Drosophila melanogaster: one gene and its partner. The gene in region 1 interacts genetically with each later gene. Each region holds a gene or a part of one and is shown on either strand. Other genes may lie near its edges.

What was found.
Region 2: of rn (region 1) and gl, changing one enhances a phenotype caused by changing the other (phenotypic enhancement), as found in Drosophila melanogaster (one study listed by BioGRID).

Annotation. Positions count from the first base shown.
Region 1 is NT_033777.3:7,300,048-7,315,747, reverse strand, and holds the start of rn (rotund), read left to right. Parts: upstream 1-6,118; 5' UTR 6,119-6,718; intron 6,719-7,272; 5' UTR 7,273-7,420; coding exon 7,421-7,891; intron 7,892-10,793; coding exon of another isoform or gene 10,794-11,156; intron 11,157-13,514; exon of another isoform or gene 13,515-13,575; coding exon of another isoform or gene 13,576-13,989; intron 13,990-14,571; coding exon 14,572-15,111; intron 15,112-15,700. Other genes in the region: CG42544 (uncharacterized protein), read right to left, coding at 10,794-11,156. UniProt on the Drosophila melanogaster protein: Transcription factor involved in imaginal disks development. Isoform rn is required in the wings, antenna, haltere, proboscis and legs disks, while isoform roe is required in the eye disk.
Region 2 is NT_033777.3:18,361,443-18,379,715, forward strand, and holds gl (glass), read right to left. Parts: upstream 11,297-18,273; 5' UTR 11,075-11,296; intron 10,428-11,074; 5' UTR 10,337-10,427; coding exon 10,291-10,336; intron 10,008-10,290; coding exon 9,877-10,007; intron 9,394-9,876; coding exon 7,901-9,393; coding exon of another isoform or gene 7,897-7,900; exon of another isoform or gene 7,505-7,896; coding exon 7,360-7,504; coding exon of another isoform or gene 7,135-7,359; 3' UTR 6,485-7,134; downstream 1-6,484. Other genes in the region: hmw (hemingway), read left to right, coding at 684-887, 960-1,574, 1,630-2,327, 2,382-2,541, 2,604-2,741; WRNexo (WRN exonuclease), read right to left, coding at 3,168-3,323, 3,380-3,623, 3,679-3,903, 3,966-4,171, 4,230-4,334, 4,469-4,537, 4,594-4,653; Nup43 (nucleoporin 43kD), read left to right, coding at 5,278-5,560, 5,626-6,419; CG7675 (uncharacterized protein), read right to left, coding at 16,795-17,525, 17,784-17,922. UniProt on the Drosophila melanogaster protein: Transcription factor required for gene expression specific to photoreceptor cells.

The DNA of each region.
Region 1 (15,700 bases):
TATTAATTTATTTAACTTGACGCTCAAATAAAATTAATTTGATATCAGTTGTGGTGTTATCTTGAGCAAATAATATGGTATAATATCCCCCATCGGATACAATCCGTTCTCCGACTATGAAGTAAAATATTTTCACAAGCCCATCGCCGACTTCACCAGCATTGAATGCCCCATTTTGGACGCTGTGACAAATCGCACACCCATCATATATGGGCATCTCATCAGATAGTCAGGAGATGACACGTGCCTCGATATCGATATTTCCTGGAAGATCGCCTCAATCCAGAACAGGAACGTCGATTTCATTTGAATATGCTTTGCCGACTGCTCTACACCAGACCATATAAACACTAATAAACTCATTAGTCAAGCATCTTACAAGCAAATCTCACAGGTGCAAAATGCCAATACAATAAAATTGCAGTTCTCTTTGCAATCTAAGTACAGTGAAGTGGAAACAGGACAATTTTGTATATCTTTGAAACTTAAAATATCAGTAAAAATATCAATAAAAATATAAATATATTTTTTTTAACAACAAGTATTTAAAAATGTTGACCGTACCGAACCGATGTATTCTTTAAACTACTAAAAATTTAACGACATAAATTCCAATTGATTTATTATTAAAAGATAAAGTGCACAATTTGCATTTTCGTTGACAGCTTACCACATGTATTCTAACATCTGATCGCATCACAATGTTAAATTCTCGAGGGAGTATCGCGTCCTTCCTTTTCAGGGTCTAGGCTTGGTGCTTACACTTCTACTCCAATATTGTCATAATTAATAATATCTTTATGGTCATATGCCAGCGCAAAATCGAGCGTGACTCGCGATGAAGTATCTGCCACAGCGGCGAGTGCAGCTGCAGGTGCAACTGCCTCTAATCAGCGTCAGCAGCGCGTGCCACTCGCGTTGTCACCTGCACAATTATAGAATTTTCCATAGTCGGGCAGTGCTGGCCACCAAAATGGCCTGTTCCCAAAAATGGTGTCCGCCAAGAGTCCGCGCGAAGTGTCCGCCATAAATAACTGCCAATAAATGTCAACGGTTTTGGCGCATTAACATAACAGCTACGCCGAATTCGTTGACAGGTTACTGCTTTTTCATCGAGCGCAAGACCTACCTGGGCAGCATCTTCCATCCATCCATCTACTGGCATCATTATTTCTCGGGCTAAAATTGAAATAATCGCCTTTTAATCGCCTACGCCTTGACGGGCTGACTTGGCTCCAATTACCGCTGCAATCGTTAACTCTTCTGGCTGACAGCCAAGTTGGACATGAGCCCCTTCAATTGCCACTGGGATCATCAGGCCGATCGACAATAGTCGCGGAAGTCACGTGCGGAAGTTTTCCAACTTTCTCAGTTACAATGTTGGCCGACAAACATGCGAGTTCCGAATTAAAGCTGGAAAAACTTCCGTTTACAAATTACCTGTTGTCTTATTTTTTTGGAAATTAACCTAGTTTTAAAAAAAATTTTATTTAGATCTTTTTTCCGTTATTAAGATGAAGGCATGAACTGGTACTTAGTACTCATTTATATTTATGAGAAAAAGATTATAGTACGTTTGCTAAGATGGATGTTACGGGTAGCAAAGACCGTTTTCGACCTTATTCCTTATTCTTAGCTAGGTCCACTAGCCGAGTCCTATTAACAATGGCCGTCCGTATAAGATCAATATATTTATGATTCAACAAGCAGATTCTGTAAATGCCTGAGAGCGATTATGGGGTATACATACAATTAAATCGATTTTTAATAAAAATATATAGAGTAGCTGCTGACTTAAATACTCCTTATTCCTTCCTTTTAAGTTCGGAAAGATAGCTATAAAATTCATATACCAATATCCTTTTTTCAGCTGTAATAAAGCGAACGAAAATATTTAAAAAATATTTTATATTTTGTGCTTGATGTTCCCGCACTCGAAAATACGATAAATTCCCAAAGCTCAGTGAGACCCAGCTGACAATTACAATAGCAATTTGCCGTGGTCAAATGTGTGATATTTCAATTTAAACTTAACGGCGCAAGTCATTAAACGGCAGATACAACATGTACTGCAATCGGAGGGAAACAAGATGCCGCAAAAAGCGCAAATGTCGCAAAAGACGGCAAAAATCGACAGCAAAAGCAGAAATATCGGTGGCAGCCGCCATTTGAGAGAGCTCAACATATTCAAAGTTGTGCACGAGCGCGATTCCAATTTCATTTTGTGCTCGGCGACAGGGCAAAAACCATTTGCGCAGCAACAAATGAAGAAAAAACACAAACAAAACGTTTTTGTTTAATTAAATTAACAAAATACGCGTCGGATGAGCGGCTAAAAAAACTCGGTTATTTTGCACGCAGACCAACACGCCAACACGTGTTGCAGAATTGGCCCACAGATAGAGAGAGTGTGGCCAAAAGAGAGCCAATGTCAATGACTGGCTTTAAGCCTACTCTTAAGCCCTATTCTGTCCCACTTCCACTCGGCAGCCAAGTGACTCCGTCTCACTCGAGCCACCATTCAGTTGGTGGCCACTCACTCGCTCTCCATGCGAACATAGCTCATGCGCCCTGTTGTCTCGCTCTGCGGCACTCGGCCAACCCGTTCTGGCCAATCGGCAAAAAGCGGTTGAAAAACAGGCGGAGCCTCTCCGGACCCCCGATGCAACTTGGTCGGGAGCCCTCAGCCCCGAGCCCTGATCCCCGTCCAGAGGCCCAAAGCCTGGCCATAAGCCACATGCAAACCCTGCCCCTGCGCCATTGCAGCTGTCGGGAGAGTCTGTCAACCATTTGGCGTCCATGACCAAGCATGACGGCTATCTGGGCCCTGTTTGTGGTGCCACTGCTTCTGCCACTATCTCATCTCGAGTTCTGGCTTTCTGGCTGGCATTTTGACATTTCGCTCGGAGGCTTCTGGAAGCGGTGGCGCCGCACTGCAGCATCTGCAGCCACATCAGTTATCTGTTCCGCTGCGGTTTGCGGCGATAAATGTGCGCCATCATGCAACTGACTAACTGCGGACTTTGCATTGCGTTGCGGCACTGCGGTTCTGTTTCCAGATCGTGCAACTGTGTTATCCAAAGAAGTTATCCTGAACATAAAAATATGGAAAACAAAATTGTAGTATATTTCAAAAGAAATTTGAGATTTGTAAACGAAATGGGAGCTCCTTGGATAAGAAAATACATCAACTTGAAAAGACATCAAAATGTAAAATATGTTGCTTCTGCGTTTGGATACCTCGGAATTATATAAACAAGGAATGTTTTTAATAAATAATGTTTTAAATAAACAAGTATTTAAAAATTGATGTAACAGTTTTTAGTACATTCATTTAAAACAAGCTTGACGTTATAATCGAGCTTCTCGGCTATCAAATTCCCGCCACTCAGCTGGCGGAAGCGCGAGGGAAAAACTTTTCAAACTTCTTTTGAAATCTCGTAAGAAATTGAAAGGAAGAATAATAAAATAATATAATAATAATATATTTTACAAAAGTCTGGCTCGGATGGTTTGCGGGCGTTAAATGTTTTTGGCATGAAATAACATGTATTAAAATAAAAAAAAAAAAAACAGAACAATTTTCAAAAGAGTGTCGTTAGCTTTTGTGGGCGTTTGTGGATTGGGATGATCAACGGTCAAAAACCATCTTGCACTACGTAGAATCTACCTGACTAATCTCAACTTCTAAGCCTTAATTATATATATAAGAATATATATATTTATACCTGTTATATACTACTATGCCCGTTTACTCTACATGTAACGGGTATAAATACGTAATAATTTAAATGCAATTTTGTATTATATATGTACGTTTGGTATAATATGTCGTTATGTTGTCTTTATTTAAATACTATCTCATCGTTGTTGGCTGAAGGTATTTAAAAGGCGCGATCTATTATTTTACATGACACTTTGGCTTGGATTTGTTATTAAAAACATTAAAAACGTTTGCGTGAAAAATTATTTAAAAATAACTTAACAAACTTTATTCAAAAATTTTGTCAAATACCTAGATTACAAATAGCGTACTTTGATTTAAAATCTAATAAATAATTAGGATTTACCGATTTAATATATATTATACAATAAAATTTGTTATTTTTTCGTTTCTTAAAAACACATAAACTTTTTATTTTTCTTTTTTGATCATTTTCCAAGTGCTAAAAGTTATCTGAATCCATCGGTCAAAATGGCTGGTCGTCTGCAAATACAAAGTGGCATTGATGACAGTGCAAACAAGAGCGGCGACAGTCGAAATGCGATAAGGAAATTTGTGCTGCACTCAAATAAATGAAAAGCGGCACGGAAAGCGCATAAAATGGCAGCCGACAAATGGAAGACCATAAAAAATATGCAATTGCGGCGGGCGAGCCATATTAGCAGGTGAAATAATCAAATTAGCTGATAAACCGAACGGGAAACTGCTGGACATTAGGTTCCCAGTCGGTCGGAAAAACCACGATGGCTAAACGCAGCCATTTCCCAGTGATTTGAGTGAGGAAAGGCCAGCTACATCGTTGCCGTTGGGATCAAACATAGCTGCAATACTGCTCTACTGGTGCAGTACTGCAATTCTCAGTCCCCAGGTGGATGTGCCAATTGCATTGATTAACTAAATAAACGCGCAGCACTTGCATTTTAATTTCATTTATTTTGACCTTTTTCCCCGAGGAATGGCAGTTGCAGTTGTCACAGCCGAAATGCGCTGCCATTTTCCCACCCGCTGGCGACACATGTCCGTACCCATAAAAAATGCCTTGTCAGGAGTAAAAAAAAAAAAAAAACTTAAGAAAAATTAACAAAAAATATAAAACGGCAAGCACAAGCAAAAAGATGCCAGTCAAGGGGCGAGCAGTGAAAAAAGAAATAAACCAAGTGCTCCAATAAAAATTCCACCGCCTTCACCCTCGTGTCGACCTGCTCTCACACTCACACCCTCTCTTTCACGCTCGCACTCTCTCTTTTTTGCCCGCTTTTATGGTTTTTTTTTTGTTTTAAGAGCGCATCGCCGCTTTTGCCCTGCTTGCTCTTGAGCTTGGCCAACGCTGCGTATGAGTGGAATTTTTTCAGTGCCGCCGAATCATCGCTTCGCTTGAAATGAATATGTGTGATTATTAGCCGCAAAAAAGCGTGTTTCGTTTTTGCCACTGACTTTGGTAGTTTTTGCGGATTTTTAATTTGAATATTACATGTATTAAAAACTCATTACTACGCGTGGTTCGCCATCGAAGTTGGTCAATGGGCTAATGGTCTGCGGATGTGATTTTTTGTCATTTCAGCGTTTGTCTCTTGCGCAAAATTATGCATTTGGGATCGGAACGAATGTATGCTCCTATCTTCATTTTGGGTGTGGAATTTGCATTATAAAAATTTAAAAAAGGAAAATTTTAAACGTAAATAAATCAAGTTTCATTTGTACATGGTGGCAGAGGAGAGACGTAGAAATTGCAGACTAAGTAACTACATTTTTTACAAGACAATAAATAAAATAATAAAACGTTATTAAGCAATTAAATGGAAACCACTTTCCTGATAACACTTTTGATTAACCCGTCTTCGGTGGCGGACTTGAACCTTCATTGCTCGTCACCTAAACGCCCCCGTGTTTTACCATAAAGATTGAGCTATAAAAACGGAGTGCCGCATTAACCGTTCGCCGCGCAACGAGCAGCGTGCAACGTGCAGCATGCAACTCGCAATATGCTCATTCATGCTCAAAGTCAAGAGAAAAGAAAAGCCACTCAGGCAAAAAGCCCGAAATCAAATCAAAGTTGCTCAAGAGACCCGGTAGCAAAAAGCGAGCTGCAGGAAAAACCACAAACAATTTTTTCCATCGCCCCGAAGAGAGAGGGAGAGAGGCCGCGTGAGAGAGGGAGAGAGCGAGCGAACCACTTTTTGCCACTGCTTTTGGAGCAAAAGGAGTAAAAAGCTGTTGCGCAGGCGTCGCCGTCTGCCCCAAAGCCGTGCCAGCCACGAGTGCGAGAGAGAGACCGGGCGAGTGGAGCGACAGAGAGGGCAGCTATGCTGCGATTTGGCGGCGAGTGCGAGGCATTTGAATGTTTTTTTCGTGGCCGCACTCAGCATTCGAGTTCGGAATTCTTGCGAGCTGGCAGCTACTTTTTGCGCTGCTCGCTGCTGCCGCTTCTGCTGAGCCAAAGCCATAGGCAAAGTCCAAGCCAGGCTAAGCCAAACTAAACCTGGCCCAAACGGCCGGCCACTCGGCCACTGTCCACCAGTTGGCCACTTTCGCGCGCGTTCCAGCCAAGTGCACTCCTCAGTCTGCACTCTCCGTTCTGCAGTCCGCAGTCTGCAGTCTTTTTTGCCCGCGTCTCCCAATCCGCGAAGAATTCTGTCGCAAAGTGCAATGCATTTTCGCCATTCCGCAAGTGCAGCTGCTCCCCCAGCTCGCGGTATCATAATTAAAAATCGAGCCGAGTGAACTCGCAAATTGTTATCACCACACGTCGTCGTCGTCTGAGTCGGTAAAAAACAAGCCAGGCCCTCGAAAGGGTCGAAATTGGTCAAGTGTCAATGCGATCGAGGCCGTAATAAACGTGTTTCAGTGCTCCCCTGAATAGTTATTGTGATCCGCTGATCAGCTGAGTGAATGCAAGTGAACGAATATATTGAGGAGTATCCACTTACTACACGCGATAATTGCGAGAATTTCCACGAGCCACTCTGAGGAGTAGATATCGAATGGGGTTAGAAAGTAATGAAGTCATTCTATAAGTCCCAGCAGCAGCAGCAAGAAAAGACTAGCCTAATAAAATATTTATTTTAGGCCATTTTGCGGAATTAAGTTTTAAGATACTTGTTAACAATAATTTGATAAACTAGTTACAAAATTATACAAACACAAGTTAAACTGTTCCAAAAAGTATATATATTAAATATATTTAAAGCTTCCGCCTAAATCGATAATATATTATATATTTCCATATGTCCCTATAGTAAAATTATAGTTCGGTGATGATTAATAACAAAATTTACTTCAAATGGAAATATACCGTTTTTATTTTGTAAACTGAAACCATAAATTTTTCGTTTATTATGTAAACATTCCATAATTAAAAATTTTTTAAAATTATTTATGAAATCAAATCGGTTGCAACTCATTGCTCACATCACGATTCTGCTTAAATATTATTTACCTAGGTAATCCCAGCTTTCTTTTCTATTGGGTTCAGTACACTCCCGATTCAGGGATAGACGAAAGTAGTTGCTTTCTAACCACATGACTCTTTCCCTACTATTCGCATCTAGCTCGATTTCCCAAAAAGTGAACAAAACAACAAAACTAAACTAAATAGCGCGTTATTTAATTGAAACGTAAAATAGATATTCCGAGCGAACCCCCAAGTGGAACTAATTAGAATAACGCCCTGAACAACCGCCAATCGAAGGTGCTTAAATGATTATGCATGGTACCTGGTACAAGGGACCTCAGTTGGCGCACCATCCTCACTCGAATCCGCATAACAGTTCGCACGGCCACAGTGACTACCACCAGTTCCGCTCGTACCCCTCGTTCGTTGTAACGCCCTACCACGATGGCCATGTCCAGGGCCCGGCCACGCCCACTCCATGCACGGCCCCGCCAACGCCCTGCAACGGTCCAGTTCCAGTTTCAGTTCCAGTTTCGATTCCCGTCTGCCACACCGGCGGCCAAGGTTCGCCAGTAATTGTCGAGAGCTCATTTGCAATCGCCGCCGCCGCCGCTGCAGCGGCTGCTGCCGTCGCCGTCGGAGGATCCAGTGCCACGCCCCTGCTGCCCAGTCCGCCCATCAAGATCGAGCAGGTCTTTGGCGAGCCCTCTTCGCTTGGAGCCGTCGTTGAGGATTACGCGCTGGGACTAGATTGCCCCGTGGAACACACGTTTCGAGTAAGCGCACTAAAAAGTTTACAATATTATGAAAATATATTATATGAATACGACCTGGTATTATTTTATTTAATAAACACTATTAAGTACTTTAATTTGAATGCAACGGAAACTTTTATCTAGCTGATAAAATAAAACATTTACGTTGTTTTTATTGTATAGGCATTAATGATACTGATACAACCGTTTCTTTAATTATCATTTGTTAGTATGAGAGCTTGTATTCTTGGGCAAACGTTAAATCTGCTTGCCAAATTAGGAAATCTTCTAGCTTTTGAGATCTCAGACCGTTTACATAATCGAAAACACAGATAGATAATAATGATCCTAATGATACATCTTCGATTGAATAATAAATCGTTTTTTTAAGTAGAAGTAAGCTCTAATTCTACTGAAGAAGTGCAAAATTTGTGTAAGGTCATTACTCCTGAACATGGATAAATTTACCTACCCAAAACTAACTTCTTTGAATTTAGTGACATGAATATCGAATAATAATTTTTTTTAAGTTTTACTCATTTTGTATCCACTTTTAAGATATTGGTAGCCATTTGATAAATGTTTTCTTTTATTAAATAAATGAACACTTTAGGCGTTATTTAATAAAAAAAAAATAGTTAAAAGAAATCAAAGCTCATATTTTTAATCCTCACCGTTGGTTGCCATGCTTTAGCCATCCGACTGCCGTTTCCTAGCCAATTTTATAGCAGTGTATGGATAATGTTATTATGTCAAATTACTGGTTAGCATCCCCATTGGAGCAGCTGCTGCACTTGTTTGGCTCGACTCTCACCACCGAAAGTGGGCGTGCTCCAAATCAATTTCCATAAAATCATCCAATAACACTTAAAAGCCAGGCAGGGCAAAAAGCCGACAAACACAAGTGGCAGGCGAGTAAAAAACAGGAAAACAAACACGCCCCCAACTCGAAGAGCGTCAGTGAAAGAGCTCTCTCTTTCTCTCTTCGGGGAAAGCAAGAGCACCGCAAAACGGAGAGATCTCTTGTTTCGAGTGGGTTTTAATGGTAAAACGCTCAAGCTTTTGCGTCGCTTTTTCAGACGGTCCAAAGGACACTTTTTGTCGGCTTGGTTCGTGCACAGGATATCCCATAATTGCCTGGCTTACAAAGCTTTTCGCAGTCTAATGCAGATTGACTGATGGCTTCAAGTGGATGAAAGGAAATTAATGCAAATCAACAGGTGGTCCTGTGAAGTTTAAGGACATATGTCAGCCTGTGGAATAAAATATGTAATTCGAGGAATTCAAAATATGATTGATTTTTTTAATTGAATAGCAAATAATATCTTAAAAATTTTAAGTTCTCAAAATTTCTTATATTTCGTTATAAATTGATGGATTCTTATATGCGTTTCTCGTGTGCAGAAATTCCGAGAAATACATTTCAATTACCCGAAAGAAACCATTTTTTTTTTCAAACCTTTTTTGAGCTTTTAATGCATCTTAAAGGGCAAAACCATTTCCTTCTGCTGCTGGCGATGCAAAATGGACGCACGTTCCTTACGCTTATCAGGACATTTCGCCCTCATAGCCAAGCCCATGTGTATATGTGTGTGCGTGAATGCCAGCAAAGGGCAGCTGGAAATCCTTGAACATAAAAAGAAAACAAGCCAAGCATCCAGCACATGCACATAAAAACATATGCTCCTGGACAGGATTTAGTTTGGGGACGCCATCCGACGCCTTGCACTTTTTCCGACGCCGACTGCGACGCAGGCTGCGCTGCAAATGCAACTCCTCCATGCTGATACTGCCTCATTTTAAAGGGTCCTGATACTGCACCCTCGTACTTCTTATAAGCAAATCGGCTTAGACGAGCGTTTGCTAGAAAGTCTATCTCAATATAGATTAAAGGTCTTCCAGAATATATATATAATTATGGTGGAACAATGGCTTAAGAAATTGATACAATCCAATTGAGGTTGAAATGATACAAGAACATTTTTTATTTTAATTAAAAATTACATAAGTATTAGAACAATTATAAGTAGATAATAATTCATAGAAAACACAAGTCTTTTGTCCATATGGTGTCAATAACATATTTTTAAGCTTTATTGATTACTTCTATCAAGGTTCCTAGAACTAAAAAAGTTCTTAATAAGATTTGATCTCCTACTTTTCCACATCGATCTATAAGTAACTTTTAATTTACTCTTTGATCTACTTGGATCAAACAAGATGAATATTATTCAATGGATTTCCCTGCCGCACAGATGAAACTTAACTTGAGGGGGAAAATTGCAGCGGAAAATAGAAAATCATTCAGAGAAATTGCACAGCAAGCGGTAACAAACAAACAACGGGCTTCAGCTGAGCTGGGGAAAACTAGTAAGAAAAAGGGAAATAATATAAACAAAATGAAGGAAAGAAATTGGCGCTCGTGAAATGTTAACAGGGCCAGGAGGGCGCTGAGTTGAGCAGTGGCAGTGGCAGCAGAAGGATATATATCCGCAGTCATCCTCGAGCAGCGACGCCGACAGAGGCAGCGACGCCGACTGTGAAGCTGGCAGCGCTGAATGTTTTTATCCTTTCTTCGATGTGTCGTCGCGGCATATTGCTCTGCTCGTATCTGTGTGTGTGTGTGTGTCTGCGTGTGTAGCAGTGTGTTTGTGCCAGGACATCACACGGTTTCGCTTTTCTTTTACAACTTTTTGTTATTATTTCGTTTTTTGCTCGACGCCTGTAATGTATTTCTTTCAGTTTGCTGGCGTTTTTTTTTTGCTTCATGTGCAAGAAAAAAATAAGCTTTTACTTGGCTTTTTTATGTCCGAGTGTGTGTATGTGTGCGTGTTTGTTACTGCTGCTTTTCCGAGCTCTACTTCTTGAGTTTCCTTTTCGCGCGCGCCATTTCGCTGCTGCTTTCCACAGCTCCTGCTGCTACTTACCCGTACAACAAACATGGCCATAAGTCGCCGGAGCTCGCTTCCGCTCTGTCTGTTTTCCTTTTTCCACCAGTCGCCGGCTCTGCCGCAGTCGCAGTCTCGGCCGGCGTCTCAGCCGCAGTCGGCGTCGCAGTAGCTGCGATTGTTGCATGTGGTCCTGGGTTTGTTGCCTTTGGCGGGCTGCAACTCTCGTTGTCTTCAGTTCGCTTGGGCTTGGCCAAATCTATTGGTCGCGGTGCCGCGCTCACGCTCGCGTCCGTGTCCGTGTCCACATCCGCATCCGCATCCGCATCCGCGTCCGTAACCGTGTCCTTTTGCGGCCGAGAGTTGCGGCCACCGCACGCGAGATGGCGCCGCATCATGACGAGGGCTGAAAAACTCCAATTAGGATAACCGGGCTGGTGTCGGGGATGAATTTGTACATATTTAAAATCTACTGACATCCAGAGTATTAAGGACAAGGACGTGACATAAACGACTCTACCCCTTTCTTCTATTATCGATATTTGGTTATGTCCCAAGAACTCCCTGAGCTATATCAATAATATCTGATCACTATAATAAAGAACTAAAGATCCTTTTCAGCTTATTATGCTTATCTTCAACTAATAAAATAAATCAGAACTCTTATCATAGCTGATCCCAGAAGGACATGTAATAAATAATTGAAACTTCTGTTCTCTTTACGTGCTTACCAGCATATCAAAAGTACCACTATATTTTAAAAAGTTCTTAGAGTCAGAGTGAATTATACTTTAGTTTTTGGCAGGTAGATTTGGATATTGCTAACATTCGAGCACCGTCAAATATGAAAATATGCCAAACGTTGTTATTCTTGTCTACGCCTACAGCAAGCACGTCTTTTTGAAGAAAAACAGGCACACAGGACCTATTATAGGATGTGCAGCACACACACATATAAGCGCCGCTTGAAGACATCGAGGCGAAATCAAAATAATAAAAATCACAAACATGAGCAAACCGTATAAAAGAAACCCAATCTGCCGGAGCTCACCGTTTTCCCCCGATCTGCCGCATGTCGCGCAAATTCAGCTTTATTTTCTATTTTTCCCCATTTTTCGCTTTTCTTACAAGAAAATGCTGCAGTGCGCGCTGAAACTGCAAATGTATGTCTTTATAACGGGCAGTGTGCATATAAAAAGAAGAGAGAAGGGGGGAATTATAAAATGAAAAAGGGGCAGAAATAACAAAAACTGCAGCAGGAGGAAGGTTGAGAGGAGCAACAAAACAGTCACAACACACAAGAGTCTCAGTTAACGCACACACACACCATATTCCTTCATGTTTTGTGTGTGTGTGTGTGTGTGTGTGTGTGTGAGTGTATGTGTGTGGACTTTTGTATGTATAAAACATTCGCGCGCGCTCGCCATTTTCTTTTGCCCTGAGCTGCTGCACTTTGGCTTCCAGTTGGGCTCCTCAGTTGTTGCAGGTTATCCCACGCTCGCTGACGGACGGAGACGTAGACGGACTCACGGACAAGACATCCGGACAGGCGGACAGCCGGACGGGCAGGAGCCAACACAAGCTCACCCGGGAGACCAACTAGCAAGCACTCACTCTCAAATCTTTTCTTATCAGCATGAAATGAGGAAAATTGCGGTACATAGTTAGCTGCAGCTTTAAGCCCCGTATGCGTAATATGAACACCGGTCAACGAGGCGTATACACAATACCAAAGCAGTGCCAACACCAGGATGTCATTGAACACCACAATGGCATTGAATAAAGTTCCTTTTTATGTGAAAAAGTAAAAAAAGATAAGCCATGTTAACGCGAAGCTAAATAAAGGATTTTACGAATAAAGATCCTCAACGAAAGTGCAAAAATAAGGATAAATCATGTAAACTCCGAAAATTGTAAAATTCAACTGCAACGCAAAGTTCCTATCACCCAGTGCAAACTACATTTAGTATACAAGTGAATTATATTCACATTTCGCTTTTAACAAATAAAATAATCTACTTAGTATTTCAAATAAATAAATAAAATATTTATCAATCGAAAAATAATCTCTTAAATAATTGATGAGAAATTAAATTCACAATAAATATGCTGGAAAACGCGAATAAAAACTCACCACTAGACGACTAACTTAACCCACCTAGTGGAAAACGCAACAAACAAAACAAAACCTAAACTCCAGCCACAGAATGAAACAATCATAGATGAAAAGTAAACAAAACTCCACAGCTGAGCAAATAAATCAAAACGCAGAGACAATGAGAACCGACAAAGTGTTTACTAAACAATAAACAAAACATCAAACTGAAAAAAAACAAATTGGTCAGCATATGCAAAAAAAAAAAGAATTGCTACAGATGTCCATCACGAGCAGCACAACCATAAAATCAAAAAAAAAAATGTTCCAAAAATAGCAAACTGGCAGCCAGCAAAACTTTTCAAGGTCGTCGCTGGCAAGTTTCTGGTGGCAAATCATTTCTATTTGTTTCAATTTAGTGCGCATCTAAAAAAGAGCGGGGAAAAGTTTCTAAAGTGCACTCCGCCCCAGCCATCTAAAATGAAATAAAAGTTAAGCCAAAATAAAAAGACATCAGATTTGGTTGCAAAATTTTTGTTTGCTGTTGTTCCGCCCCCTTTTTTCAGCGTGAAATGATTGTGTGTGTGGAAAATCAAGCAAACTGTGCCTCAGTTAGATACATTACTGTAAGCGGGGGCTTTCCCGTTTGAAAGTGAAATTGTCGAGCTGGAGGAGTAAAAAAAAGGGCTGCCTACATCTGGGCTCCACCGAAGTTGGTTGTCATGCACGAACTCATTGGCAAATACAGCCATTCGGACATGGACATGCTGAAGGATCAGCTGAAGCGTGGGGGCTACATGGGCGCCCTTGGTCCGCCCACGCCCGGCACATCCGCCCCCTCGCCCTTCCTGATGCCCGCCGAATTCTACAAAAGCCTGCTCGCCAGCGCCGTTCTGCAACAGCAACAGCAGCACAAGTTCTACGCCGGCACGCCCTCACCCAGTCCCGCCCCCAGTTTGTCACCCACCTCAGGTCGCCACTTGCTGTTTTCCACGGCAGCTGCGGCAACCGCTTGTGCTCCGGAGAATGGTCACGTGAAGACGGAGCTCGAAGAGCAGGACCAGCAGAACGGGATGCCGGAAACCGTCGGACATGAGGAGCAGAAACCCATCATCGAAGAGAACCCAACGCCGAATGTTAGTATGGGAATATGTGTGGAAGTAAATGAGGGGTCATAAATGGGATTTCAAGGGTTTTAATTTTGATTATTTTGGGATGCAGATAAGTACAAATAAAACAAGGCTTTCCTGTGTCGGCCCTTCCTTCATGTGCACACGAAGTAACCCTTAAATAAAAGTCCTTGCCCCACAATTAGAACTTAATTGTCGCATGAGACTAAATGTTTCTATCAGTACTAGTTAAACGACATGATACGGTCACTTGAGAAGTAATTAAGAGCTCAAAAGTATTATCATTATTTTATATGGAAAATACTTTTCCCTATTGATTACGAATGATCGATCATTGGATCTTTGGATAAGGAATTGTTATCATCTTAATATGTTTAAAACCCTTTGATTTGTATTGATCGATTCCTATCTCATAACTGAATGGCGGAATGCTTAGAAAATAGAAACATATGACGACTCTTACGATACGGTATGAATTCCATTAAAAACTCGTTTCTTTTTTCATGCTCAATGCCTTGCCAACTCAATATTTTTAAATGTTTGACGAAACCCTTTTTCACACAGACAACAAACCATTTTTCATTGCAGAAGCCGCACAACAACAACGGTTACTCGTGGTCCACCGGCAACAACAACGAGGTTGTCAGTCATAGCAGCAACGGCCACACCAACAACCACCCAACAACACCACCCACTCCGCCCAACGAGGCCAGCGCCACCCAAGCGACTTCAGTGTCCGCAATTAATTTGAATCAAGCCCAACCCGCATCACAGACGCGTTCAAACTTTGGCAGCTCCATAAAGTCACCACCATCAGAACCGGACGCGGTCACTGCTGCCACGTGCAAAAGTCAGGAGAATAACTCCGGCCAGAACCCCACCCCCAACTCCCTCTCCGATCACAACCCGGCTCACAACCTTAACTCGAATTCAACGGCCGCTGCCGTGGCCGCCGCTGCCGCCGCCGCCGCCGCTGCCAACATGCCGATCGGCGGCGTCCAGGGTCAGAATCCCACCCAGGGCCTGGTCCACTGGATGAGTGCCGTGATGGCCGAGCACATGACCGGCCAGACGCACCACGATCCTGGCGCCGTAGGCATGCACTACATGTGGAACGGGAACGTTGACGTGAGTATCAACTGGATAACTGGATTCACGGGGGCGGGCAAAATTCGTGGGGCTTGTTAATTTTAGCCACACTTTGAAAAATCCAAAGAGACAGCCTATACCGAATTATTACCACAGGACTTAACTTACTCCGTCTAAGTAAATTTGCCATGCTCTTTATTTGACAGTCTACAAATTAATCTGATAGTAGTTTAATAAGGTATTGGTTAGATCAAATATGGCTTTCACTTCTTATCAACAATTATGGATTTCATTATATTTAATTCAATGTAGCAAAACATTAGTATGATATTTCATATAAAAGATCAGGATGTTTCGAGCAAGATTACTATGAAAAGCGAAAGGACCCTTATCCATTTCCTAATAAGTTAATATTGCACAACATTGTGTCAGACAATTTGTACTAATCCAGAAAAAAATTATTTTAAAAATTGGAATTAAATCCTTTTGGTAATTAAATATATTTAAGCCAAAGTATTGCTTTGTGGCAGTGTACAAACTTTGGACTTGTCATTGAAGTTTGTCTTGCAGTCTTCCTCGTCATGGAGCAACTTTTCCGAGATAAAGCAAATGGGACGCAGCTGGGAGA
Region 2 (18,273 bases), about 11 Mb from region 1:
TAGTGTTCGCAGCTTAAACCCGGTGCTTAAAAAGTAAATCCGCTATATACTTGCTGAATAACTTTTGTATTATTTCAATATCACTTTATATCAATTTCCAGTGCTGTTGGTTAATTTATTCAGTGTTTTCCATAATTAACGCAACAAGAGCCGGCAAAGTGCTGCTGAGGCAACCAACAACAAACCGCCTGCGCCTGCTCTGTTGCCCAGGACAACCGCTGGCTAGAATAAATAAATTCCCAGGTGTCAAGTGGTGGGTGCTGCGACGAGGGGTTAGCGGTGGGCATGCGGACTCCGCTCACCTGAGCTCCAGTCGACGGTTGGCAGCGCCACCGCAATGCAACCAAGGAGTCAAAGTTGAGCCAAGAAGCGCGGTATGCGCCCAGTTTTTCCAACTTGGGGTAGACCGGAGACGGAGGAGCACCTGCCCCAATGTGGGCGCAAAGGTGTCAATCATAAGAGCGCATCGAAATGGCTGCAAAATCAAACTCAGTGAACAAATAGCAACTACTCAAGCTGAAATCAAAATTCAAAGTTTGAAAGGCCTAGGAGTTTCGGCAGTTCTCAGTACAAACTAAAGAAAAACACACGGGTGACAACGCTAATACCCCAAAAAAAACAAAATACACTACAAACGACGAAAGGAACTTAATCAGAGAACCGACGAAGAATAAGCATACAGGATGTCGGGGGCTGGAGAACACTCAGATGAAGAGTCCTATGGAGAGGAGTCCTTCGAGGAGGACTCGGAGTCGGAGGTGGAGGTGGAGGAAGAAGAGATTGAGTATATTGAGCCAGAGGAGTCAAAACCAAGTGACGCTCTTCTGTTGGGGGAGAGCGACACCCAAAGCGAGAGCGATGTGAAAGAAGAGTTTCTTAGCGGCAACGTAAGTCCTCCTCACCAGGAGCTGACTATTTCCGAGTTCAGCCTTAATCCGCAACCTGCATCGCGCCCACAGCCACACGCCCGTCGCTATTTGGGCGCCCGAGTGGTGTCCTACCTGAGTTCCTCCTCTGACGACGAAAGCCAAGTGGTCATCACCAAGACGGTAGCCGAGGTAAATCAACTAAGTCTGCGAGTGGACACGCCTCCGGAGGATGAGACGCCCTCGGTGCGCACTCTGATGCCAGGCAGTGCCCATTCTCGGGTTAAGGATGAGGACGAGGCTGAAGACGAGGATGATGACGAAGGTGATGGCGAAAATGATAACGATAATGAGGACGAGAATGATGACGAGGATGCTGAAGTCGAGGAAATCGAAGAAGAGGAGGAAGAAATTCCAGGAGACGAAGACGACGCCCAAAGCGATGGATCCATGGGTCGTCAATCCGCCGACGACAGCGACGAGGAGGAGGGCACGGATGTGGAAGTGGAGCAGCTGGAGGAGGACGAACCAATTGTAACAGCTGTGTGCAAAAAGACGGTCCAGAAGGAGTTACCACCGCCCCAGAAGGACATTGTTTCGCTGGTCGATGCCAGTGATAACAGTAGTGAGCACAGTGTGGTCACCATGTGTGCATCAGGAGACGAAACAGACAACACCTTGGTGAAGTATCCTAGATTACGAAAGCAGGTAAATAATGGATTAGATAATATCTCACTACAGATAATTAAACACCTACTCACAGCAACCACTTACTGCTAAGGATTCGCAATCGCTAAAAGAGCAGGAAGAACCGGAAGAACCGGAACAACCCGAAGAAAATCAAACAGAAGAACACATGCCAACATCACAGCCCGATCTGGCGAGGGTTCGGTACCTGGAGCAGCAGATGACCCAAATGTCGGAATTGATCATGAAGTCATTCCAGATCAATGGAGGAGCGCCAAATAGCCAAGCCTTCGAGCAGCTTGCCATGGCCACGGAGATGTTGCAGCAACGAAGTGACAGGCGCGGGGACACTGAATCCGAGATGTCATCGATGACGGAAACGACTATGACCAGTGCTAGGAGCTTGGGTGGAGGAATTCCCCCCCTGACAATGCGGATGGAGCGTTCTCAGGAGGCACTACTCACGACGCGATCTTCCAAGCTACCCAGACCCAAATGCAGATGTCCCTCGGAATCGGATTTAATTGAACACGAGCAGAAACTGGATATGGGTCACGAGTTGCCCCATGACCTGGCAGCGAACTTCGGCTTGGGCGAAGGCTACCTCGTAGACGAATGTGGCCAGGGCGACGGACTCATGAGGCATCCACAACAGCGCAAACCAATGGAGTTAAACAGGCGAGCCGTTAGCGGAACTCCAAGCACCTTCAACAGCGACGGTTGCGAGTATCAAATCAATGTGTCGCGTTCCCGCTGCTCTAATGATAAGATTAAGTAAGTAACTTATAATACTTATACACTCTATTACATATAATTACATCTGCATAGCTATAAAAACCTTGGGCGCAAAAGCTTTAGCTTTACGAATCCCCAAGTGCGCGAGATCGAGCGCCAGAATCAGATTCTTTTGCGCAAGATGATGACTGTGAAGCCCACGGCGACGATCAAGGCTAGCACCAGTAGCATAAAGATCAATGGGCCCGAGAAGGTGAGTACATAATATAGAACTTATGTCCAATATTAAACCTCTTCCTTAACAATGTCATACAGCGACAGACACCTCCAGCGCCACGACTGTCCAGCGCAGCTGTGAACCGGAAGAAGAATCAGCGCCAGATCGACCTGGACAACGATCTGCTCAAGCGGAAACTGGAGGCCATCGGCACACGGCGACCGCAATTCAAGTGACGCCTCCACAGGCAGCTCCAACTGTGTTCATTAAGTAATTAAAAGTGTTTATGCGAATTTACAAAATTAAAATTTATTGCAAGTTGAAAAGTGTAAAAAGCTGTATAATCTTAATATAATTTTAAGGGAATTTATAAACCAACTAGAATTCATGCAAAAATGTATAGTACTAGTAAAATTTCGTTCCGATCAAAGTCAATGCATCAAAATGTGTTTATAATTTGTACATTTAGGTATAAACAATTCTATAAATGTTATCGTAATCAATAATCGAATTGGATAGCAATATTAAATTTAACAATTATTTTGCAGCACGTTGGTAACAAATTAAACTAAGAAAAACTCCCGAAAATAAATGAAAGAAGGCGAAAATATTTAAACAGGTAAAAGGAATTAGATGGCATATCTGAAACTTCAAAGAAAAGCTTACAGAGTCACCTCGTTGATCTTGGTCAGAAATGTCTCTCCCAATGCTTTCATTGCTTTAAAGGCAGCATCTCCGTTCTTTTCCTTGAACTCTTCTTCATTTTTAATCTTGACCTTCTCGCGGCGTTCCAATTCACGATAGATAACCTGACCAATCTGAAAAGAAAACTAAGATTGAACGAAATTGTATGGAAAAGTGAATATCAACTTACATAGACATCGATGGCGGCGTACATTAGTTGATTCTCGTCCAGCGGAATGACATGCCACTTGCTCATGCGCACCTTCTTGCTTTTGTCCATGGCCTTCTTGGCTATAAAGTTGGTTAATCGCTCCAAGCTCCAGCGCCCGCCGGTCTCACAGACCTCATTGCACCAAAGACCCAAGTCCACGCATTTCTCTATCAGTGGTTCGGCTGTAACCTCGGGGAAATCACGTGCCAGCTTTCGGAAATCGCTGGAAAATAACAGATTTTATTTATCCAAATGGATTTTTCCTTTGTATAACTAACTTCTTTATGTTCACGCCATGCAATCGCACTTTGGGATGATTGATAAGGGCCACCAGGGCCGCAGGCAGTTTCTTCACATTAGTCAGCTGGTATATGTAGCAGCACTTTTCATCCACGCATATCTGGATGACGGCAGACTTGCCAGGTCCTGTTTGGAAAGAGAAGGGCCACTCCATGTCGAAGGCCATGGGCACTACCTCATCTTTTTGTTTTTCCACCCATTGCCTAAGTTTTGATTTTTAATGCACATTATTAACAAGCAGGAATAAGTTATAGAGTTAACTTACAAAACATCGTCAGCAGATGCCGCAATATCCTGGCTCTCCGTGAAATACTTTATAGCACCCTTGTATTTAATAAAGGGAAGCTTTTCGGGCTTTTCCTTCTCCGGTGATGGAGACCCATCCTCTGCCATTGAACGAGTGCTTCTGGTCAGCCTGGAACTCCGGCGCTTGGGCGGATTTTCTTCCTCCATCGCTAACTTCTCAGTCTTCTATAAAGTTGTTAATGCTTCGTCCCAATATAAACTTAATATATAAATTGTTGCTTACCACATCTGGAGTATCCAGATTTTTTCGCTTGGCAGCCGGTCTACCGGGTCTTCCTTTCGTTTGCTTTGGCGTATTATCATCTCCAGCATTTTCTTTATCTTTCAACTGCAAGATTTATTCGGTTGAAATAGTATACATAGTCATTATTGCTTCCGATTTACAGAAACCGATTCTTAGTTTTGAAAAAAGCAGTAGCAGTATTTTAAATAATAAATTCTAAATAATAAACAAATGCAAACCTCTTTTGGAGTATCCTTTTTTGTTGCTTTCCTTGCCACTTTGGGAGTCTCCTTTTTGACGCCCGCCTCCTACAAATACTTTTAAGTTAGTTTTTATCCCTGCACGAAATTGTGTATTAGCCTACTTCCTTGGGAACTTCATTTGCTTTTGATTTGATGGGCATTTTTGTTAAATATTTTTCCATAACCCGCGTTGCTTGTTCGTTTTCTTAAATGCTTTGTTTACTATTATTTCCCGCCAAAAATATGGAGGGGTAGGCGCACATAAACACCACAGTACGAAAAAATACTGTGACAATCGATAAGTGCCTTGATGAGTTATGAAGGAACGGTAGAATTTGGAACAAGGAAATGTTTTTTATTTATTTATATTATTGTTATTTCAAGGTGAATTCGATAAACTAAAAATGCAATTTTTTTAAGAAAAGAAAGATATAACTATCTATGTGCGAAATAAGTTTATAGGACTCAAGAAAGTATATATAATATGCTATTGAAAAATTGGCGCCCCACATTTTGGGGGACATCTCCACTCGCAGAGCCTGTGCAAGCTTGACCACCTTAAAGGATATTTCAGGAAAATTTCATAATAGAATTACCAATCGTTTTTGAGATAAGCTCATTAAGTACCATAATATAGATCCACATAACAATTTTTCTGCTTTTGTTTCCAGCCCTGCCCAATTTATAGATACCAGATTAAGTTTCCCGCTAAGATATGTTGCGATCTTCTTGCTCTGGTCACACTTAACTCGAAAGCCGCATTATTTTGTTTACATCGCGAATCCTCTGCTAAATCCAACGAAAAGATGTCCATTGCAAACGTTTCCACGCACTACATATCCGAGAAGGTGTCCCAAGTGCGCTGGCTTCCGGAGGAACTGCAGCAGAGCGAACGGTTCGTTACTGGAAGCTGGGACATGGACCAGAACTTCGTGCGCCTCTGGCGGCTACAATCGAACCAATATGTCACCGCCACGGATTCGGAAGTGGACCAGATACCTCGCTGCATGGACAAGGTGAGAATGGAGGACGATGTGACCGCCATGGAGTTCGTCGACAAGGACACGCTGGCTGTGAGCTGTGCCGATGGTCAGTTACAAGTTCCAGCAATCATGAACTCAGCTAAATAAATGTCTATTTTAATACCAAACAAGGTCATCTCAGCGTGTTTAACGTCCATCGAGCCGTGGAGGAGGATCAGATGCAACGTACGTCCCGATCGGGACGTCTGCACTGCTTCCAACGTAGCCAGGAGCCCGCTCCTTGCACCGACCTTTCTGTTTACGGCACGGATATCGCCACCGCCGGCGAGGATGGGTGTGTAAGCATCGTCTCCGTGGAAAATGTGCGCCAGGTGAAGCGACAGATTGAGGCGGACAGCATGGCGCTGTTTTCCATTTGCTATATCAGCCAGCAGGAACTGGTGACTGCCAATAGGATGGGTGTTATCCGAATGCTGGACGCCCGAGTGGCCACTGAAGCGCAGCCGAAGACCACCTTTATGGTGGCCTCCCAGGATGACAAGTCGAACTTTGTCTCGTCCCTTGCCAAGCATCCGATGCAGCAACATATTTTACTTTGCGGCAGCGAAGAGGGTTCCATAACCGTCTGGGATATGCGAAACCTCAGTTATCCCGCCTCCTATCTCAGCGCTCACAAAAGTCCCATCAACGAGATAGGCTTCCATCAAAAGGATCCCAGCAAACTGTTCACCGCCGCAGAAGGTGGCGAGGTGTGGATGTGGTCAGAGAACAAAGTTCTCGGGTGCGACTATAACAAAGACGGACACAGCCCCTGGTTGTCTGGCGATCGTGTTCGCTCCCTGGTCGATGTGGAGGGAGTGCTGAGTAATGTTCGCAAGTCCATCAACTCCTTCGATGTGCATGGAAGTCGTCTGGTCTGCGGAGGCGACACAGAAGCCGTTTACCTAGTTGATAATATTGTTTAAATGTCAAGCCTTTTGAATTCCTTACCTAAATTATATAATATTTCAATTGTTGAAATCAATTAGTTACTGTATTTAATTTTCGTATATTTATTATTTTCTTTATATACTCCAAAATTGGCTTAGATCAAAGCACCTGTCTTACATCTACGTCTAGTTTAAGCTTAGGACTCTATATTCGTATACAGGTGTTTATGGGTTTAATGCCTTGGCAATTCCAATTTAAATATTCTCGTTTTGGGTGCTGCTGTGTTGTTTGGTCTTATGATTCATACTCATATCCGTCTTAAATCCTATTTCGTTGGCTAATTTGGAATAGATTTATGCGTGTTTTGAACTACCTTATTTAATGGATGAACTAACTTGGATTCAATGCATATTAGGCTAAGCGAATATAATAAATATAGTATGTATAAGTATGTACAGTGCAGCTCTTAGGCCTACTTTTGTTCGATTCTCCGCGATTCCTCAGATTTGTATTGTTTGAGCATTTTTAACTGCATTTGGATGCGGATTTGGGTTATGAGTATTATTACATCGTTATGTTCAATTAGGATTTCAATTTAACACGAACCCAAATTATTTTTCTACAGCAATGTTGAGTATGGCATATACATTATTGTATTTATCAGCGATAGAGTGACTATCCCCGTATAATTCACTGAGTGGTCCTCCTTTAAGGTTTCTTATCCAGATGGGATCCTCCAGATTTTAGTCCCTAGTAGAATCGTTCGAACTTGGGCGCCTTGTTGAGTGCGCAGAAATAATACCCTGAATAGTTTTGTGTGGCTCCGGGTGGAGTATAATCGCCGATGCTGTAGTTCCCGTAGTCGTAGTTACCCATGTGGGCGTGGTGATGGTGATGGGCGTGGTGCTGGTGGTGCATGTGGTGGGTGTGCGGGGGGTGGTAATGCTGGAAACCTCCTGCACTCCTTGGCTTTTGTCATGTGAGCAGGCTGTTGCCACCACCAACTCCGCTGCCGGTGGAGGACTCTCCACCAACTCCGGTTGCCCCATTGCTGCCATTGCTGCTGTTGTTGTTGCCGTGGACGCGCATGTGCCGATTCAAGTTCCCCGACTGCGAAAATCTGTGGACACCAAAAAAGCAATTAACTCGATGTATAACGTTCCAGGACTGCTCTTTGGGGGCCTAAGCCTTTTTTAAGGGGTAATTTTCATCTTTAGCATTACATTTGAATAAACAATTATTATTTCATTTAATTTCAGTTCTTTAGTTGAAGTTGAAAATCTTACGAAAATGCATGAATGAAAATGAATGATGCATATTATCTTTGGTTTTCCTTTTTTTTAAGCTTGCAACAGTCTCAGTTTTGTTCAAGTTGTTAGTTTTATATTGAAACGATAGAAATTATTAAACTATCTTTAAAGCTTTAAGGGTTTACGTAAAAGTAAAAGCAAAACCATTTTCGTTCGTTTAGGAATGAGGAAGGACGGTGTAAGTAAATCCCCCATCCCGGACTCACCTGAGCAGGCAGAGCTTGCACTGGTAGGGCTTCTCGCCACTGTGGATTCGCAGGTGCTTGGTGAGGGTGCTGCTGTCCGAGAAGGACTTCTTGCACGAGGAGCAGCGGTACGGCCGCTCGCCGGAGTGGGTGCGCATGTGCGTGGTGACACTGGAACTCTGCGAGAATCTCCGGTCGCAGATGGGGCAGCGGAACGGCTTCTGGCCGGTGTGTGTGCGTACGTGAGCCGTCAGGTTGGCTGCCTGCGAGAAGCTCTTGTTGCAGTCGGGGCATCGATAGGGTCTTTCGCCGGAATGGGTCCGCAGATGGGTCTTGAGCGTGCTGGGCCGGGCATATGTCTTTCCGCACAACCGGCATAGATTGGGTTTCATCTCGCCGCCACTGCTGCCCTCATCGCCGTCCAGATCCTCGTTGCTATCCTCCTCGTCCTCGAAGGCGGATAGACTTAAGCCCAGGGCGGCTGCCTGATAGCTGGTGGGACTTTTGTGGGGCGGTGTGTATCCCTGATTGCCCACCCCCGTGGGATAGTAGCCAGCCAAAGAGGAGTTGGCCGGCGGCGATGGCGACTCCTTTTCGCCCACCGTCAGCGGTGGCAGGGCACCCAGACCCGTGGGAGCCGGTGCCCGAAAATCCGCTGTAAAGGAATATGTGGCCGAGGCAGGATAGTGACCGGGACTCAGCAGCGGTGGGTATAGCACATTTACCGCCGCTGCTGCTGCTGCCGCCGAGGTGGAGTTACTGGGTGGCGTCCAGTTCATCTGGGAGCACTGCATTGGCACGCCGCCTGCATCACCGGCACCGTAGCCATGGTGCATGGTCATGTTCATGCTGACGTTCACGCTCATGCTGGGATACATGGCTGCCGCCGGAGGAGGAGGTGGTGCGGCCGTTCCAGCACTGGTTTCATAGTAGCAACTGGCAGCGTTGGCCACTCCTCCGGCACTACCATTACTGCCGATATTGTTGCCACCACTGCTTTGGAGGAGAGAGTTGCCTACGTGCGATGCCTGGACTTGGGATTGCTGGTGCTGGTGCTGCTGGTGCTGCGAGTGCATCTGGCCATGATTGTGGGAGTTCGGCGAAATGAGCATCTGGTGCGGATGCACTGTGTAGGAGAGTGAGGCGGCCTGGTGCGGATTGCCGGCGGCAAAGTTGTAGGAAGCGCCGCAGGGCGAGAATGGGAACAGGCTGGGCAGCGGATCGATGTCCAGCGGCGGTAGGCCGGGAAATGTGGAAGCCATCTCGTCGGTGCTCCAGTAGCCGTGATTACCCGAGGAGCCTCCTCCGGCACCGTTGTTGCTGCTCCCGTTGCCGCTGCTCGCCGGTGGTGTCGTGCTGATCTGGATGTGGCCGCCACCGATGCCCACGCCCACTCCAATCGTGGGATCGAAACAGCCGCCGCAGTCGAAGTCGCTGCTGGTGAGCGAGGAGATGGGCAGGGCGGTGCTGCCCTGGCAGGATAGGCAGCCGACGCAGGAAGCGGCGCACTCTTGCTGCACGAGCGAAAACGGAAATGGAGATTGAGACCGGTTATGAAATACATTCAGTTAGTACTAATACGTAACTAAGACAAAATAATTAGTTAGTTAGTGGAAACATTTAGTAAATTTTAACTATTTTTACATTCTAATACTGACTTCTGAGGAGAGTTTAATTGTATTACATATGGAAGGAATTTCTAAGCTATTAAACTTCCCAATAGATAAAATCGTATGGGTTAAAAATGTAATAGATTACTTTAAAAACGAAAATGATAAACTTCTTAGTACAAAACTGTCTGATTTTTCAGTTACCGATATAGCAAATTAAAATAACCACAATTTCGGTATTGGGTTCTATTTCCTGGTTATAAAATTTAAATAGTTCAGGTATATCACAGATTTCAGCTAAGTTCTTTCCACGAAACAAGCACAACCGAACGCTCGAAGATTTCCGGAGATATTGAGGCGAAATCGAAAAAGGATTCCAGGACTCACCTGAGGGCTGTCCAGCGCCAGGCCGAACAGGGGATTGTTGGGCACATAGCCCGTCTCTGGTTCCACAGGACCGCCGTTTGAGACATCGCACGATATGTACATAGCTCCACCCTCTTGATCTTCCAGGGAATCTGCGCAGCCAAAAAAAAAAAAAAAAGAACAGCATGAAAATCACTGGAAGTACGCCAGAGATGCTCGCCAGCAGCGCGTATCTCATGGATACATTTTTGCTCCCATGACAACCACTGTGCGCACTAGCTCCGCCCCTCGAGACACACACAGACACACACAAATACACAAATCGAGAGACCGCCATTTGCTTTGCTCTCTCGACTCGCGACTTTCCATCCGTGTATCGCCATACAATATGCTGTATCTGCATATCTGTGCAATGGTGCTTCCGATTTCACTCACCCAGAATTGTGTTCAGGAGTTTGGAACCCTTATATAACAATCCCATGACATGACTCCACTTCTGGAACGTTTGGGCTCAGCAGTCGCGCATTTGTTCCTGCTTTTCCTACGCTTCATCTTGATGCGTTAATTTCCAACTGCAAGGCGATGACGGAACATTATTGGTAAATTCTAATTAAGATTCACTTTCTATTCATTTATTCAAATCTATTATTCAATTTATTATTTATTCAATCAAATACCAATATCAAATCTAATCTTCATATATTTTCAATAAAGTGTTAATAAATTCAGTTTTAAATAAAGTTCGACAGCTAATCAGAAATTAGATACACAATATGACAGATTCTTCACCTCTAAATTTAAAAGAGATATCGAATTATAGATCGCTCTTATGACGAAGATGGATTTCAATTCGATTGTTTCATTATTGTTAGGACTAAAAAATTATACTAAAATTACAATAACTTTCATTTTGAAAGAAACAAAACGTTAAAATTGCTATTTAACTAATTTATGCATGCAAATCAAAGTAAATTTTTGTTTTTCTTTTTAATGAGATCAAAGCTATGATATTGTTAAATTGATAAAATCTTCTTAGTGAATTGATTTTTTCGATCTTAGCCAAAACATTGTTAGGACATTTTAATTAGCTATTTGCAGTTATTAGGTTTTATTTCAAATACATTAGTTGTATTCCATTTTTTCTTTCTTCTTTTTTATTGCAGATTTAATATTGTTTATTCCGTTCTTTATTCACATATGCACTCTTAATCGTTTTCACCTTCTGAATAGATCCACAAATGGCATGATACCAAGATCACCAATAGAATTTCAACGTTTTCTTGCAAAATATGTTTGTAACTTTTTTTTCGAAGACTCGGTTTTAAGTAGTAACACACGATCGTTGTTTTCCGATTTGAATTTTATGCGTTTTCAGTTTTCGATTTTTCGAGTGCGGGGCAAGAAGCGACTTTTGGCGAGGAGCATAAGACGGCGACTAATTGTCAGTTGCAGTTCGGTTCGAGCCACCTCGGCCCAAAATCGACTGATATATCGGATTGGCAGAGCGGCAGCAAAGCGACAACCGACAACTACAGAGGAAGCAGCAGGGCGCAAAAAACATACTCACTTAATTATAAACAAGCGACAAAAGGGCGCAAAAGACAACGGCAACAACAATCTCGCTCGCACTCACACTTTGGTCGGCTATAATGACACAAGTACGCAGCACTACACACTCGAGACCCTTGCTGAAAGCACCCCTCCTCCAATACCAAACCCATACCATACCATACCCACACCAAGCCATCCCGCACTATATCCCATGCCCACTCCTGAGATTCCATCCATCCACCACCACAACAACGCTGCCGTCATCGTTGTTGGCCAACCAATGCGCTCCGTCTGCCGGCTTTTGCGGCTACTACCCACCCCTCTGCTGCTTCCACGTCCACATCCTCATCCAAATCCAAAGTCACCCTCCTCCGCCTTCGCCTTCGCCTCCATATCCGACTCCTCCGCTGCCGATCCCGCCCAGTCCGAGTTTCAGGCCCATTCATACGTGGCCAGCTACATCGGCAGCAGTTTTCAGTAGTTTTTATTTGTCACCCAATATCTTACAGCTCGACACCAGATACCAACGAGGCGGGGAGAAAAAAGAGTACACTTCGAGAAATAATCGCTAGCAAGCAGTTCTAGTGCTCTAGAATGTTACACTTCAAAATCGATGGCCGTTCAAATAACGTTGTTTTCAATTCACAAACAAGTATCCTCACTTTATTTGTTGAAAAGAAGATATGAAGTTCCTTTTCCTTAAAATCTATAGATGCACAACCGCAGATTGTCGCTAAATTCTTAAGAGGACATCAAATCACTTGAGACTATTTGATATGCTTGTGATTAGTGAATATTTTCGATATATAACATATTATTTACTTTCTTAAAATAAAGGTATTGTAATTTTATTACATAATAAACAAAAAGTACTATAGGGATTATTAATAAACAATGTAATTGGTATGATATAAATATGATACAAGAAGTATTGAAAATAAAGTAATTCACATATTAAAATGGGAATTTTCTGGCAGGGTCTCTGATGAGGGAGGGACAGTTGCTACGGACTTGCCAACCATTGATCGTCTTCGTCGGCATTCTGCTTCCTCTTCGCTCCATTGTTTTGTGGTTAAGTGAGGCAGTCCATCGGCCAAGTCGGCCGGCAACCCCCTGACTGCTTCTGTAGCTTGTATCTGCGTATCTGGCCGTGTGTATCTGCTTCTGTTGCGTGTATCTTTGTATCTCTATCTCCGGCGCTGATTCTCAATTGTAGCCCGGCCAATGACGACTGCCAATCGATCGATGCTCTTGTCGCCGGGCCGACAATCGTGAATAGTTTGAATGTTATTTGATAGTTCGATTTGTGGTCGCAGCAGAAAAAGCAAGGAATAAATCGCAGGCCAGATGGAAAAGCAAATGGAAATTATGAAATAGATGTGTTAAGCCCAACTCGACTATATTTAGCTAAGATATATTATAGATATAATGCTATGAAGAGATCCCAATTCGGATCGATCACCTGGTTCACACGCCCGAAATCGAATTCACCGCCAATTGGCAAAATCAGTTGAGTGCAAAGGCTTGCAGTGATCGCATACGTATCGAGCTATATCCCCCATATCACCTTACCTTATCGATGGGAATTTCAGGTCAAGCCCAGCCAGCGTCGTGTGTGTTAAAATCAGATCCACAGTCTGAGCAGATTCGAACCAGTTTTCAATTTTTATATTTCTTTTTTTTTTTACTTCGCTTCAAGTATCAGTTTCATGTCAACAACTTGGCTAAGGACATGAGCCTGTCTCTGCTGCCGATTGTCAGAATGGATTAGGATGCGATCCTTGAGCTGCTAGCTGCTAGCTGCGAGCTGGTAGCCAGGCAATCCGGTGGTATCAATAACAATTAGCCAGAGATTCCACTCAGGTGGTGCGTTCAGGTGTCAGCTGATCAAACTGCTTCCCATCTCTCGATTGACCGCAATTCAAGAATTCAAGAGTTTGCTACAAATTAAGCCGCAGGGTAAACATATTCGAGCACCCCCTCTTAGAGGGACCTGTTATCACACCAGCCCATCCACCAACCACCTTATCATCGCACGTGGATTTGTTTGCCAGAACGCTCATTGCTAGCTGGTGTTTGTTTTGCGCATTTCAATTGACTAACAATGCCAGGACATGATGCTGCCCATCCCTGCGTACGTTTCCCATGTTGCCACCAGCAACTTGAGAGGCAAATTTCACTCATTTTCATTCTGCATTTCGTGTTCGAGCACATTTCATTTCATTTCAATTCAATTCATTTCATTCCATTTCTTTTGCCTTCGCCGCTCTGTAGTCCGTTGTGAATTGGCGAGGCTTCTAAAATCAATGAAATACTTTTCGGGCTGCACCGATGGGGCTTCTCCTGGTTTGGGCTGCGCTTTGCTTTTATGCTGCCACTCAAGTCATTCAACATGTTAATGCCAATCGGTCATATTAGCTACCATGCCGGCTAAAATGAGCTAACCAACTTGGTTCAACTGGAGGCGGGGAGTGGGGGAGGTGTGCCTGCTCAATCAGAGATGATTAACAATTAGTTGTCATTAAGTGCGCTTAACTTTGATACAGAAATACAAAAATAAACAAAAATAAACAAAAAGTAACAAAATTATAAACAAGTCCTGGGCTTAGAGCCTTACAAAAGGAACGTACTCCTTTATTCTTTATTTAAGAAAATAAAAAATGCAATCTTAAGTGCCGTGAATTATAAAAATGTTCCACACCTTTAACTTTTAATTCCATCGAAAGTCATATCCTTGAACTTATCAGTTTGTTGTAATTGAATGCCTGATGAAACTTATCAATGGTATTTGAACATAAGTTACCTCTAATTATAAATTTGTATTAAGAAACGATTCAAAAGTTAAGATTTAATAAGAACAATTGAATTTAAGTGGCTAAAATCTGTGTTTATATCAATCAATCATCGCTTAACAGTCGGTTTTTAAGCCAAATTCTTCTTCAATATAGGATGTGAAAACACTCTTCCTAATTTCTTATCAATTTTTTTATTTACTAGGTTTACTGAGAGGATCCTTTAACTTGTAAATAACACTTCCCCAGTGATATAGACAACTGGCGTGGACTGTATGGTTTCTATGATATGACTTAGTAGGAACTGTAGAGTTTTGGAACTGGAGTGCATGAGACATCTGTGAGTGCAATTGGGCCGACAACCGACGCCCCCGCTCCCGAGGAGAGTATCGATGACCGCGTGACAGGCGCAGCCGTTGCCAGTTGACATTTGCTGGACAGGATGGGGAAGGACGAACCGCTGTCCTGACAGCTGGACGATTCGGCATCGGGATCGGGACTGTCGCATAACCCACTTCTTATTAAAAACCTAAGCCAGCTTATTAAATGCCCGCGACTTATTAAAAACCCAGGGGGAGAAGTAGATACAAGTACGGTCGAAGGACTCCCCCAAGAAAAGGAGACAACTACTTGAATTACAAACTGAACTTGGCCACAACAATGTCTTTTCGTCCTTCTGGATATGAGTACACTTGAGTGAAGCGCGCCAAATTGAATTTGTAAGGCGATACTTTCTGAAAAACAAAAACAAAAGGGGGTTTCGGTACCAGAAGGGTTCATTACCGGTATACTCGTATCTTATCAATAAAGTTGCTATTCTGGGTGACAGATACAAACCAATGCAGCAGTAAAAACGCACTCTTTGTTTGTTTTTTATTGGGGCATCACCTCCGCAAACAAATCCTGTGAAAAGTTCCGATCGATGATCTATTGGTTTCTCACAGTAGCGAATTAAGGGGCGTTTGGTCCTTCAATTATCTGCGGTGCCGCACGCTTCGCTATCTTTAATGCCATTTTGGTGAGCCGCAAATGATTATCCTGTAATCCTTTGGATAAATATTAAATTTCAATTACGCCATTTAACATATTATTAGCCACCGATCGGCACTATCATCATCATTGGGCAAGTCACGTGCCGTCGAGGAGCTGATAGCAATCTACGCAAAAGCGAACAACCGCAACCCTCCGTTTCTGCAGAAACAGGCGTGGTGACAGCCCGCAAAGGATGCGACTGCAATTTTATCAGATTATACATGTCGACGGAGTCCCCCGGGAGTCCTCCCGCCATCCACCCCCTTGGTCCTCCTCAACAGGTGAGCGAGTCCAACGAAACTTTGTGTGAGAATTTTTCGGCCTTTCCCCGATTCTGCTCCCCTCTCCATTTGTATCGGGTTACCTTGCCTCACCCGATTGGCGCTGTGATTTGTCGTTCTCGAGCATTCTCATGAAATTAATTTGAAACGGAGTATCCAGGATGGATATCAGTTGAATTAAAACAATTATTCCAGGATTCAGTTAATTTCTAGACCATACATAAAATTATTATTACATCAGCTTTTAACAGTAACTCCTGTTATAGCTTACAGAGGCTGTTAATTTTTAGGGTGAACCAGGTTTGCTTATTTGTAATTAATATTAAATAAGAAAAAAAGTAATCATGGGCGTGACAAAACGAAAGCAATTCACAAGACCAATAAAAATTGAGGTACTAAGATCTCGACGTTCGGATACGGATGATCCTGATCTAGAATATATCAACTTTATGTTACATATTTTTACAATTTTACTCTACGAGTAACGGGTAAAATGTAACCAGTAGTTGCATAATTCTTTCTGAAATATATGTGTATTAGGAGAGGGATGAATGGACGCTCATTACTTTTAGTAAAATGTCTTATAGAGCAAATTGGTTTATATTTTTTTTTTAACATATCTCAATACCTAGAAGAACTTTTTTAAAGATCATTTGACTAAGAAGCTGCAGCTACAAAATAAATAACGAGAAGCAATAAGTTGAAAAGTTCAAAACTTGTCAGAATTGTCATATCTAGTTACCTAGCAAAAGATTTATCGAGTGACTGTCAATATATATTACATGTAATACAAAAACGGTCCCCTTGCAAATCCAAGCCGAAATCCTGTGCCAATAAGAAGTCGAGTTCCCCGACTAACAGATACCCGTTGCTCAGTTAGTGTGAATGCGCTGTGTCTATGTATCTAGAATCTGTATGCTGCATCACAACCTTCTAGCTTTTAAAGTTCCTGAGATCTCGACATTCAGACGGACAGAGGAACATGGCCAGATCGACTCGGCTATTGATCTTGATCCAGACTATATTCTAGTCTTGATTCTAGTATACCCTTTTACTCACGAGCAACCGATATAACAACCAAGATCTTTGTAATATATTATATATAGTCAGAAATTTGATGTGCTTTTTTTTCTGACAGCAAATATATCATATTGAAAACGAGCCACATTTAATTATACAAAATCATTTTTATTGAGAAAACTTAGGCTACAGTAAACTCCCCCTTAAAAACAAGAAAAGTAAATCAGTAAATTGTGCGTTGGCTCTCAGCCGCAGACACCCGTCTAGATTTTGGGATCCTGGGGCGTAAGCTTGACAATCTTCACGGACTCCTCCCAGATCTTGAGACCCTTCTCCTCATCGAGGGCAGCAGCATTAAGGGTGGCCTCCTTGCAGTCCATGAAGTACTTTCCAGACACATTGGCCACCTCATTGGATGTGGCCAAATAGATAGTGGTCTGGGCGCCGGCCTTGGTGGTCTTGAAGAATCCCTTGGTGATGGCCATCATGGGCAAGTTGAGGGGGAAGGGAACGTTACGCCAAATGCCCGAGTCGATCATGCCGGGATGCAGGAAATTCACTGTAACCTTGGTGCCCTCCAGCCGCTTGGCCAGCTCCCGGGCAAAGTAGATGTTCGCAAACTTGGACACATAGTATAAGTAGGCAGCCGGGAAAGTGCCGATGGGATTGAGCTTGGCCAGGTTAACCGACGACAGGCGGTACAGCTCCGAGGCTACGATGACTATGCGAGCCGGCGCGCTCTTCTTTAGTACATCGATGAGCAGATGCGTCAGCAGGAAGGGTCCATAGTGATTGGTGGCCATGGTCAGCTCCACGCCATCCTCACTCGTCTGTCCGCGGAAGGCCAGAGCCATGCCGGCATTGTGGATAAGCACATCGATCTTGGGCTCGGTCTTCACAATGTCAGCGGCGAACTCACGGACGGACTTCTGGGAGCCCAGATCCAGTTTCTTGACTAGGATCTTGTTGTTCTTCGTCTCCTTGACGATCTCATCTGTGGGAAATCAACAATAAATTACAAAATTCGGTTATGTAAAAAAAAACATGGTTAATGCAACGCCAACATATTATAAGATACTTTCTTTAAAGTAATTACAACGTAAATATTTAATAAAAAAAGATCATTGGTAGTAAGCAGTTTTTGCCAGAGTCTATAATCAACTGGATGAGACCAGTTATCGGAATTTGACCGTGTTGCATGTCCTGCCAGATCCTTGGCATAACCTCATAGGCATTGTCTTGGTCCACTTACCCTTCACTGCATTGGCAGTCTCCAGGTTCCTGCAGGCCATGATGATGCGGGCTCCACGTCCAGCCAGATCCTTGGCCGTCTCCTTGCCAATTCCGCTGTTGGCGCCTGTGATAATGACTGTCTTGCCCTCCATCTTTGTCTGTAATCAATGTCGAAGGTTAATCATTTAATACGGCGCTGCAATCGAAAATTGGACGAGGGCGGTTCGAAAATATGTTTACAATACTAATTAGTTGGCGCTTGTTCACAGTCACAGTAATCGCAGTTCGTCTGGAACGGAAGCTATCTTAGTTTTCAGACCCATTAACGGGTCGCTTAATTGCCATTCGAGTGCTGAGAGCTTTCTGTGAATCAGAGGTAAGCGATCTCACAGATTGTAACCGAGATACCCAGAAGCTTAGATGTTTTGTGGGATACGAACAATGTTCGGTCAGGTGGTAATCGTAGCTCAGAGATGTGACGTACCTCGCCTCTCAGAAGGTATCTAATT